Linked DNA regions of Macaca mulatta. The protein of the gene in region 1 purifies or fractionates together with the protein of each later gene. This does not show direct contact. Links are inferred from orthologs where the notes say so. Each region holds a gene or a part of one and is shown on either strand. Other genes may lie near its edges.

Region 1 (4,292 bases):
TACAACTGGAGACTTGCAGGAAAAAAAAAGTTTTCAACAGACTAGGCCCCAAACATGAAGGATAAAAGTAAACGAAAAAAACAAATTCAATTTTCAAATATATGCATAAGTATATGAGAATACTTCAAGGATAAATAAAACAAAATAAATTATCTTTAATGACTATTACCCAGGGATAATTTGTAAGATTTCTGGAACAACTACATCCCCGGATTTTAAGAAAATACGAGCTCTCAATAAATAAGTTTTCTTAATGCCTATTTGCTTAGACAACCTGCATAATCTTTGCTTGCTCTAATGAAGAGCAGGTACAACTGAGATGGCTTGCCTTTATCCTGTGGTTATTAGGTTCTTATACCAGAGGTATCAAAGTGACATCCTGCAAATTCTAACAAGCCCAAACAGTTGTTCCACACATCATTTTAAAAATCAGAAAAATAACATAACGCTTTGGATTTCTAATCTTTCTTAAAAAATAGGAAGATCAGCTGGGCGCGCGGTGGCTCACGCCTGTAATTCCAGCACTTTGGGAGGCCGAGGTGGGCGGATCACGAGGTCAAGAGATCAAGACCAGCCTGGCCAACAAGGTGAAACCCCGTCTCTACTAAAAATACAAAAATTAGCTGGATGTGGGGGTGTGCGCCTGTAGTCCCAGCTACTCAGGAGGCTGAGGCAGAAGAATCGCTTGAACCCAGGAGGCGGAGGTTGCAGTGAGCCGAGACAGCACCATTGCACTCCAGCCTGGTGACAGAGCGAGACTCTATCTCAAAAATAAATAAATAAAATAAAATAAAATAAAAAATAGGAAGATCTGGCAATACTGACCCTTCACTCCTACATAACAAACCACTGGAATTCAGTAGTGGCTGACTTTTTAGGAGAGGCATTGCTCTCCAGTACCCAAGTCCTCACCTCTTCTTTCTTTATTATTTATGGCCCTCATGGGCATTCAAATTTTTTACCCCCATTCTATACACTTCCTACTGTTCCCAATTTCAAATATTAGAACTCTGATATACTTATTTCTCTTCCCCTCTGATTCTGATTTATTCTATATGTTTTCTTTTTTTCCCCTCTAATCTATTCATGAAAAACCCATATTACTGTCTCAGACTCCAAAGACATGAAATTAGTGCATATCTAAATCCACAGAACCATCTACTGGGAACATTAATATCAAAACCCTAAGAAATTATTGATAACATTATATGGTCTCATCCATCACCTTTCAGCAAAGCTCTTCCTGCAATGCCACTTTTCTTCAGCTATTTTTTAATTTTCTTTATACCTCTTCTTCAAATACAGAGAATCAGACCATAATAACTTTATGTGACACTTTGATGATGCAACGTTTGGCTCCTCTACATTTCCAATTTTTGTGTTAGAATACCACATTGTGCTAGATTCTACAGGTCTAGAGCAGTCACATGACTTGGTTAAAGGCGATTATTGCATGTGGCTTCAGCTTCACATAATTATACAGATATGGTTTAAAATCTACTTGTTCCTAAATAAATCTTCTGACCACTTTGCCCTGAAATAATACTACCACTGACTTCAGAATGCTGCATTTCTCATTTCCACTTACATAGCGGCAGCTGGATCCCCTATTTGAAAACTACAGAACAATTCAATTCTTTGCATACAGCTCCTCTTACTGAACTTATCACCTGAGAATCTAGAATGATAGGATTTGCAACTCCCCCACCCTCCAGAACCAGGCCCCACCTCACCTTAGTGGTTAACATTAGTGATTTACTACAATATTAAAAGTAACAGTACGATCTCTTTTTCTCTCTGACCCCAAAAAGGAATAGAACTGAACGGAAATAAAAATGAAATGGAGAGTAGGAGACGTACCGCAGATTGAAACCTCGGTTGCTCTTCCTGGAATAGGAGAGAAAAAAAAATAGAAAATATAGAAGTTATTTTTACACTTAACATTCAATAATAAGAAAGAAAATGCCGGCGGCAGAGGAAGCGGAGGGTGGGGAGTCAGCCCGACACCCCTTCCTCCCTCCCCACCCCTTGCCCCCACCCTTCCACCCTCGGCGGGATCCGGTAGCGGGATAGAGGGGTCCCGAGCGCCGCCCCTCCTTCCGGGATCCGACCCGGGCCAGAGGGGTCTCGAGCACTGTCTCCTCCCTGCAGACCCAGCTCGGGCATCTAGGCACCCCCAACCCCTCTCCGCCCTTCCTCGCCCCCCAGGATCCGCGGGTCACGGGAGGAGAGGATCGCGTTCCGAAGGGGCAGGTCCTGAACGCCGTCCCCTTCCCCTGGATCCGGACAATGGGATCCCGGGCGCCCCCCATCCTTGTCCCCCGGATCCTGAGCCCGGGAAGGTGGGAGCGGGAGGCCGCAGCACCCTCCCCCACGGGAGAAGGTGGGAGTCCCAGAAGCCGCGTGTCTTCCCCCCACCTCCAGTCCCAGGAGGCCGCTCCGGCCAGGAGCCGGAGGGGAGCGAGCCGGGAACGCGACGGAGGCAGTCCTGGCCCCGAGGGAAAGGGGAAGGGGAAGGAGGCGGCGGCGGCCCGGCCCCCTCCCGCCGTCGCCCCGCTGAGAGCCCCGGCCGCTGTCCCCGCCTGACAACCCGCACGGGAAGGAAGAAGCCCCAGGACTCACGTCGCTCTCCACCTCGATGTCATCGTTATCGCTCATTTCCTACAGCCCAGGGAGCGGCCACTGCAGCGGCGGCGGGGAGGGGAAGGGGTGAAGGGGAGGGGGAAGTCACCGACAACAACAAGCCGAGTCCCCCCACACACACACTCACTCACTCACTCACTCGCTCTCTCACTCACACACACACACAACACGGGCAAGAACCACCTCCTCACTGCAGCACCGGATCAACGGCGGCACGCACGCCCGGTCGGCCCCCGCCACGTGACCAAGCTCGCAGCGCTGGGGCAGCCGAGACTTGTAGTTTTTGTCCCTTTGACAGACGGCCCGGGTAACTCCAGAAAAACTACAAATCCCGGAAGAAACCGCATCCAGGCGTCGCCAGCCAGGCTGGTAGACGGAGCCCAGGGCGCCTGCGCGTCCCGGAAAGGGGGCGGGGAGAGCCGCGGCGCGGCGCCTCCTGGGAGTCGTAGTCCGCAGACCGCGAGTTGTCAGGAGATTTTCCTCCAGAGGCGGCAGAGGAGGCTGCTGGGAAGACAGGACACGTGGAGGGAGCTGGAGCTCCTGGAGCCGGGCACCGTCGGCGCGCTGAACGCCGGGCCCAGGGGACTGGGTGGAGTCTCTGGGGGAGTAGCCGGCTGTCTAAATAATGCTGCCTCTTTTTGGTGTGACTGGTTATACTTTGTCTTCTTGATGCGAAGTGGTTCTGTTTTGCGCCTAGGGGCGTAACCCGCCCTGGAGGGAATCCGGCTGCGGCGGAACAGGGGGTGCGGCTCGGGATGCCGGCGCGAACCCTCGGGAGCTGGTGGGGAGGTATCAGTGGCAGGTGTTTCGTGGTGTTACCGGACAGGCAGGATGACCGACCTCGCCGGGCGACCGCTCCCAGCCGCGAGAATCCTGTATTCATTTATCCGGGAGTGACCATCCTCGCTACTCAGCTACTCGCGTGAGGTTCCAGCATTCACAGAACGCGAACCCTCAACCACTGTGGGCGTGAAAGTAAAAGCCCTTTAGAGTTTGTTGTAGCCCAGGCAGTCTAGGCAGTATCCCAGCTCAGAGTACCATAATTAAGATCGCAAAAAGGATCAATATGGGAAACTTGTGCAGTTCCCTGTCCAGTTAAAATCATATTTATATACTGTGGCATGAAGTGTAATCACATCCATTCCACCAATATTTTTTGAACACCTAACATGTGCCACAAGGGGATGCCATAACGGATAAGACCAAAACCATCCCTGCCTTAGGCCAAAACCATCCCTGCTTTTATGCATGCAGCTCACAGCTGTGCAAGCAAACGTGTCTGCCCTGCCGCCATTTTAAGAGTATGCAACAAGTCCCATGGGAAGGAAAAAAACATAAGAAAGGCACTTTCCACCTTGAGACAAAGTACCCATACTACTCCTTTACATCTGGTCTCCAAAATGAATGACATCTTGAGCTTTTCCCATGAGTTACTGATTCCCGGATGAAAACCGTATTATCCCTGACTTTTGAATGTGGAAATTTGGGGATATGTCACACACAATTCTTGTGACATGCATTTTTCAACGTGAGAGTGTCATCCATGCTGAAAAGACAAATGTAAATGTGGTAATTTTTCCTTTACATTTTTTTCCTTTAATATCGGTTGTCTTTCCCTCCCTCCCTCCCTTCCTCCCTTCCTCCCTTCC
Region 2 (4,405 bases), on another chromosome or scaffold:
GGTTAAATGAAATCAAGAAAAGTGAAACCTCAGATGAGGGGGGACTAATAGGAGTTGGAAACCTAAGTAGGAAGGTCTAGTAGACAGCTGGAAAACCCTGAGGGAGATTTATAGATTTGGGAATTACGATATGGTAACTGAAAATACCAGAAATGTATGTCTAAGATTTCAAGCGATGTATCTGCTGATATTGCATGCAAACTAAGTGGTTTTTCCACAGTGAGCTTAGAGTTTTTATCAAATTCTCAAATATTAAGACGACCAATACAGATGGTACCAATATACAGCTGATCCTCAAACAACACAGGTTTGAACTGTGTGGGTCCACTTAGATGCCAATTTTCTTTACCCCCTGCCACAACTTAGAGAGCAAAACCAACTCCTCCTCTTACTCCTCTTCATCAGCCTACTCAGTGTGAAGACAAGGATGAAGACCTTTACGATCATCTAATTCCCCTGAATGAGTAGGACTTTCTCTTATTTATGATTTTCTTAATAACGTTTTCTTTAGCTACTTTATTATAAGAATACACTAACTAATACATGTAAATACAAAATATGTGTTAATCAACTGTTTACAGTATCAGTAAGGCTTCCAGGAAACAGTAAAGTTTTGGGGGAATCAAAGTTATATTCAGATTTTGAATTTCATGTGATTTGGTGCCCCAAACCCTGAGTCGTTCAAGGATCAAATGTAGACGGTAACATAAGTCATGGGAGGAGAGAATGAACTCCCCTAAGAAGAATGTGTAGAGACAGCAGAAGAGAACCCTGAATATCATCAACATGTGGCCAGCCACGGTGGCTCACACCTGTAATCCCAGCACTTTGGGAAACTGAGGTGAGAGGACAGCTTGAGCCCAGGAGTTCAAGACCAGCCTGGGCCACGCAGGAAGACTTCCATATCTAAAAATAAAAAAATTAGCCAGGCCTTGTGGCATGTGCCTGTGGTCCCAGCTACTAGAGAGGTGGAGGCAGAAGAATCACTTGAGCCTGGGAGGTCAAGGCTGCAGTGAGCCAGGATGTGCCACTGCACTCCAGCCAGGGTGACAGAGTGAGATCCTGTCTCGGGGGAAAAAAAAATGAAGGACTGGGAAGAGGATGAGGACAAGGAGAGCCCAGAGAAGCAGATGGAACATCAATGTCAAGGAAACTCAAGGGAGAGTTTCCAACACAAGTAGTTTTGTGTCAAAACTACAACAGCTGCTGGAATTGACGAGATTGTCGGTGACCCTGGTTAGAATGGTCTCACAAGTGTGCTGAGGATAGGGGTCCCCAGCAGTGGGTTGGCTGATAATGAGACGATCAAGTGGAAAGAGTGAGTGTAAATAACTTTTTCAAGAAGTTTAGCTGTGAAGGGGAAGAGAGACAGTAGATGGCAAGGGATATGGAATTAAGGGAGGGATCTTTTAAGATGGGGATGGATTGAGAATGTGGTTTTAGTAGTCAAGAATTTATCATCTGGAGTTAGACATTTGGAGGTTCAACCCAAGTTTCTCCACTTACTATCTAGCCACAGGCAAGCCGGCATTACATGCATCTCCAGGTCTGTTTTGGCAACCGTAAAACAAGAATAATAGTCTTTTACTATTATAAAACACTGCTGTGAGAAATTAAATGAGACAATAATCACAAACTATTTGGTATGGGGACCAGGCATAATGACTTGGGAAAATGTTTAATTACTACTAGTTATAGGAAGAAAGCAGCAGAGAAATTGAAAATATGGGGAGAGGCCGGGCTCGGTGGCTCACGCCTTGTAATCCCATCACTTTGGGAGGCCGAGGCGGGTGGATCACCTGAGGTCGTCAGGAGTTCGAGACCAGCTTGGCCAACACGGTGAAATCCCGTCTCTACTATAAATACAAAATTAGCTGGGTGTGGTGGCGCATGACTGTGATCCCAGCTACATGGGAGGCTGAAGCAGAAGAATCGCTTGAACCTGGGAGGCGGCGGTTGCAGTGAGCTGAGATCGTGCCATTGCACTCCAGCCTGGGGAACAAGAGTAAAAACTCCATCTCAAAAAAAGAAAAAGAAAATACGGGAGGAATGGAAAAGAACGCATTTGTTAAGGACCTTGAGAACCGGGGAATACAGTATCTGGTCCAGAACAAGAGTAGAAGAAATCAGTCTTTGTGGGAAAGGGAGCCAAATCTCCTAACCATTTTCTCCGTCAAACAGGTGGGGAGATAATTTTATGAATGGGAGCTGTGGCGTGGTAAATATAAAGCGTGGACAAGGTTTTAAACGGCTGCAGTAGAGCAGAAGAGAGAGAAGGTAGAAGAACAAATGATAGGTTGCAGAGATACAGCTAGAGTCCACTGAAGGAGAAAAACATGGCCTTTCCAATGCAAAGTTGAGCAATTTTCTCCAACAGTGCCCTGAAGTTCCGATGTAAAAGTCCAGAAGACTGACACCACGTCTGTGAACAGATGCTGAAAGCAGAAGGCGGGAGAGCGCAGTTTCGCAGCACGTGATGGGCAGCGCCTGGCCCAGGGGGAGCAGACGACCGAGACGACGGCCAGCGGGGTTGGCGGCGGCGCGGGGAGGAGGGGGCCAGCTTTGGGAGACCCCCGCCCGTCCCCCTCCCGTCCCGGAGCTTACCAGCAGTCCCTCCACGTTGATGGGGTCTCGGCACCGACGGCGAACCGTCTCCTCCGCGGGGTCCAGGAGGAGACTGGGCAACTTCCTCGCCGGCCGCTGCTGACTCATGCTGCCCGGCCGGGCGTCCCGCTCCCCTCGCACCCCGCGAGCTCTCCCGCCCTCTCGCGCGCAGCTCGATCACCGCCCCCCACGCGCCGATTTCCAAGGGCCCAGAAACTGACGGATCCGCGGCGTCCTCCAAGGCCCCGCCCGGCTAGGCCGTCCCACCCGCCAGCAAACGCGGCACTGCCTCACGTGCCCGGGAACTCCCGACGAAGACGGGAAAGGAGGAGGTAAACCCGCGGCTCTCAAGTAGCCCGGCCCGCCATTTTTCCGCATGCGCAGTGTACCGCCCCCCTCTGCGCATGCCCGCCGCGGCCGGAGCGCTCCCACGCACTGATCCTCTCCCGGCGGCTGGCGCCCGGGAAACCCGGACCGCGGAATCCACGGAGAGGCTGGCAAAGGAAAAGGAAGAGGTGGAGCCGGATTCCAGAGGAAGGGAACGGGGGTGAGAGAAAACAGGCAGCTGGGAAAACGCAGCGCTCGCCTGGAATTCTCGACGGTGATAACTGAAAGCTCTCAGCCGCAAAGATGTTCATTTATTCCTTTTTTTAATTTTAATTTTTTTTTTTTTTGTCGCCCAGGCTGGAGTGCAGTGGCGTGGTCAGGGCTCACTGCAGCCTCGAATTCTTAGGCTCAAGCGATCCTCCCACCTCAGCCTCCCAAGTAGCTGGGACTACAGGCGCGCGCCACTGCGCCCGGCTAATTTTTAATTTTAATTTTAGTAGAGGCAGAGTCTCAGTATATTGCACCGACTGGTCTTGAACTCTGGGGCTCAAGCCATCCTCCCACCTTGGCCTCCCAAGTGCTGGGATTATAGGCATGAGCTACCACGCCCGGCCTTCATTTATTCCTGAGCTCTGTTAGCACATCTTACAGGCGGGTCAGTGTTGATGCTTAGTAAATGTGAGCAACCAAACCATTGTGGTATCGTTTTACTTCTGCCTGCCTGCCTTCTTTCCTTCCTTCCTGCCTTCCTTCCTTCCTGCCTTCCTTCCTTCCTTCCTTCCTCCCTCCTTCCTGTTTGATGAATGAGTTATCGTGGACCTATAGTGTCAGATATTGGGGTGAGCACAGGCGATACTTACTCATTTGGATATGCCACAGGTTCAACCTCCAATTTCAGTGGGGACAGATAAGTAAACAGAGCATGTTAATTAAGCTGGAGCCAGAGGTGTGTTTTCAAATCCTGGCTCCTACTTATAAACCAGAAGACCTTATTAAGCCAGTTACTTAATCTGCCTGTGCCTCAGTTTCCTTATTTGGAAAATGCGAATAATGACAATACTTACCTGATAAGGTTGTTGTGAGGATTAAATGGATTAATGGATACAGGTTGCTGTGATTAGAACAGAGGCCAGCACATGTTTGAAATAAAAAGGTAACACACCGTGGTGTGTACAGAGTTGGAGGGAAACAACCGGTTAGACTGGGGGTTTCTACACAGCCTGAGGTGGGCGAGGTGAGGTAGGGAGAAATCCCTGAAGAAGCTGGCTCCCCACTAGACTATGATGTCAGAGGTCTCTAATCTTTTTTTTTCCCCATTACCCAGGCTGGAGGGCAGTGGCATGGTCATAATTCACTGTAGCATCAAACTCCTGGTCTCAAGTGGTCTCCCAGTTAAGACTCCCACGTAGCTAAGAGTACTGGTGCATGCCACTATGCCCGGCTAATTTTTTAAAATGTATTATTATTTTTTGAA

Evidence for each region. Proteins that work in one complex are often made in the same cells at the same time.
Region 2: the proteins of MAX (region 1) and E2F6 purify together in Homo sapiens (affinity purification with mass spectrometry; 5 studies listed by BioGRID and IntAct, with this or other methods). This does not show direct contact. The link is inferred for Macaca mulatta from reciprocal best matches to the Homo sapiens genes MAX and E2F6.

The regions. Positions count from the first base shown.
Region 1 is NC_133412.1:138,199,647-138,203,938, forward strand, and holds the start of MAX (protein max), read right to left. Parts: upstream 2,831-4,292; 5' UTR 2,659-2,830; coding exon 2,623-2,658; coding exon of another isoform or gene 2,419-2,622; intron 1,888-2,418; coding exon of another isoform or gene 1,861-1,887; intron 1-1,860. UniProt on the Homo sapiens protein: Transcription regulator. Forms a sequence-specific DNA-binding protein complex with MYC or MAD which recognizes the core sequence 5'-CAC[GA]TG-3'. The MYC:MAX complex is a transcriptional activator, whereas the MAD:MAX complex is a repressor.
Region 2 is NC_133418.1:113,370,462-113,374,866, reverse strand, and holds the start of E2F6 (transcription factor E2F6), read right to left. Parts: upstream 2,971-4,405; 5' UTR 2,713-2,970; coding exon 2,605-2,712; intron 1-2,604. UniProt on the Homo sapiens protein: Inhibitor of E2F-dependent transcription. Binds DNA cooperatively with DP proteins through the E2 recognition site, 5'-TTTC[CG]CGC-3'. Has a preference for the 5'-TTTCCCGC-3' E2F recognition site.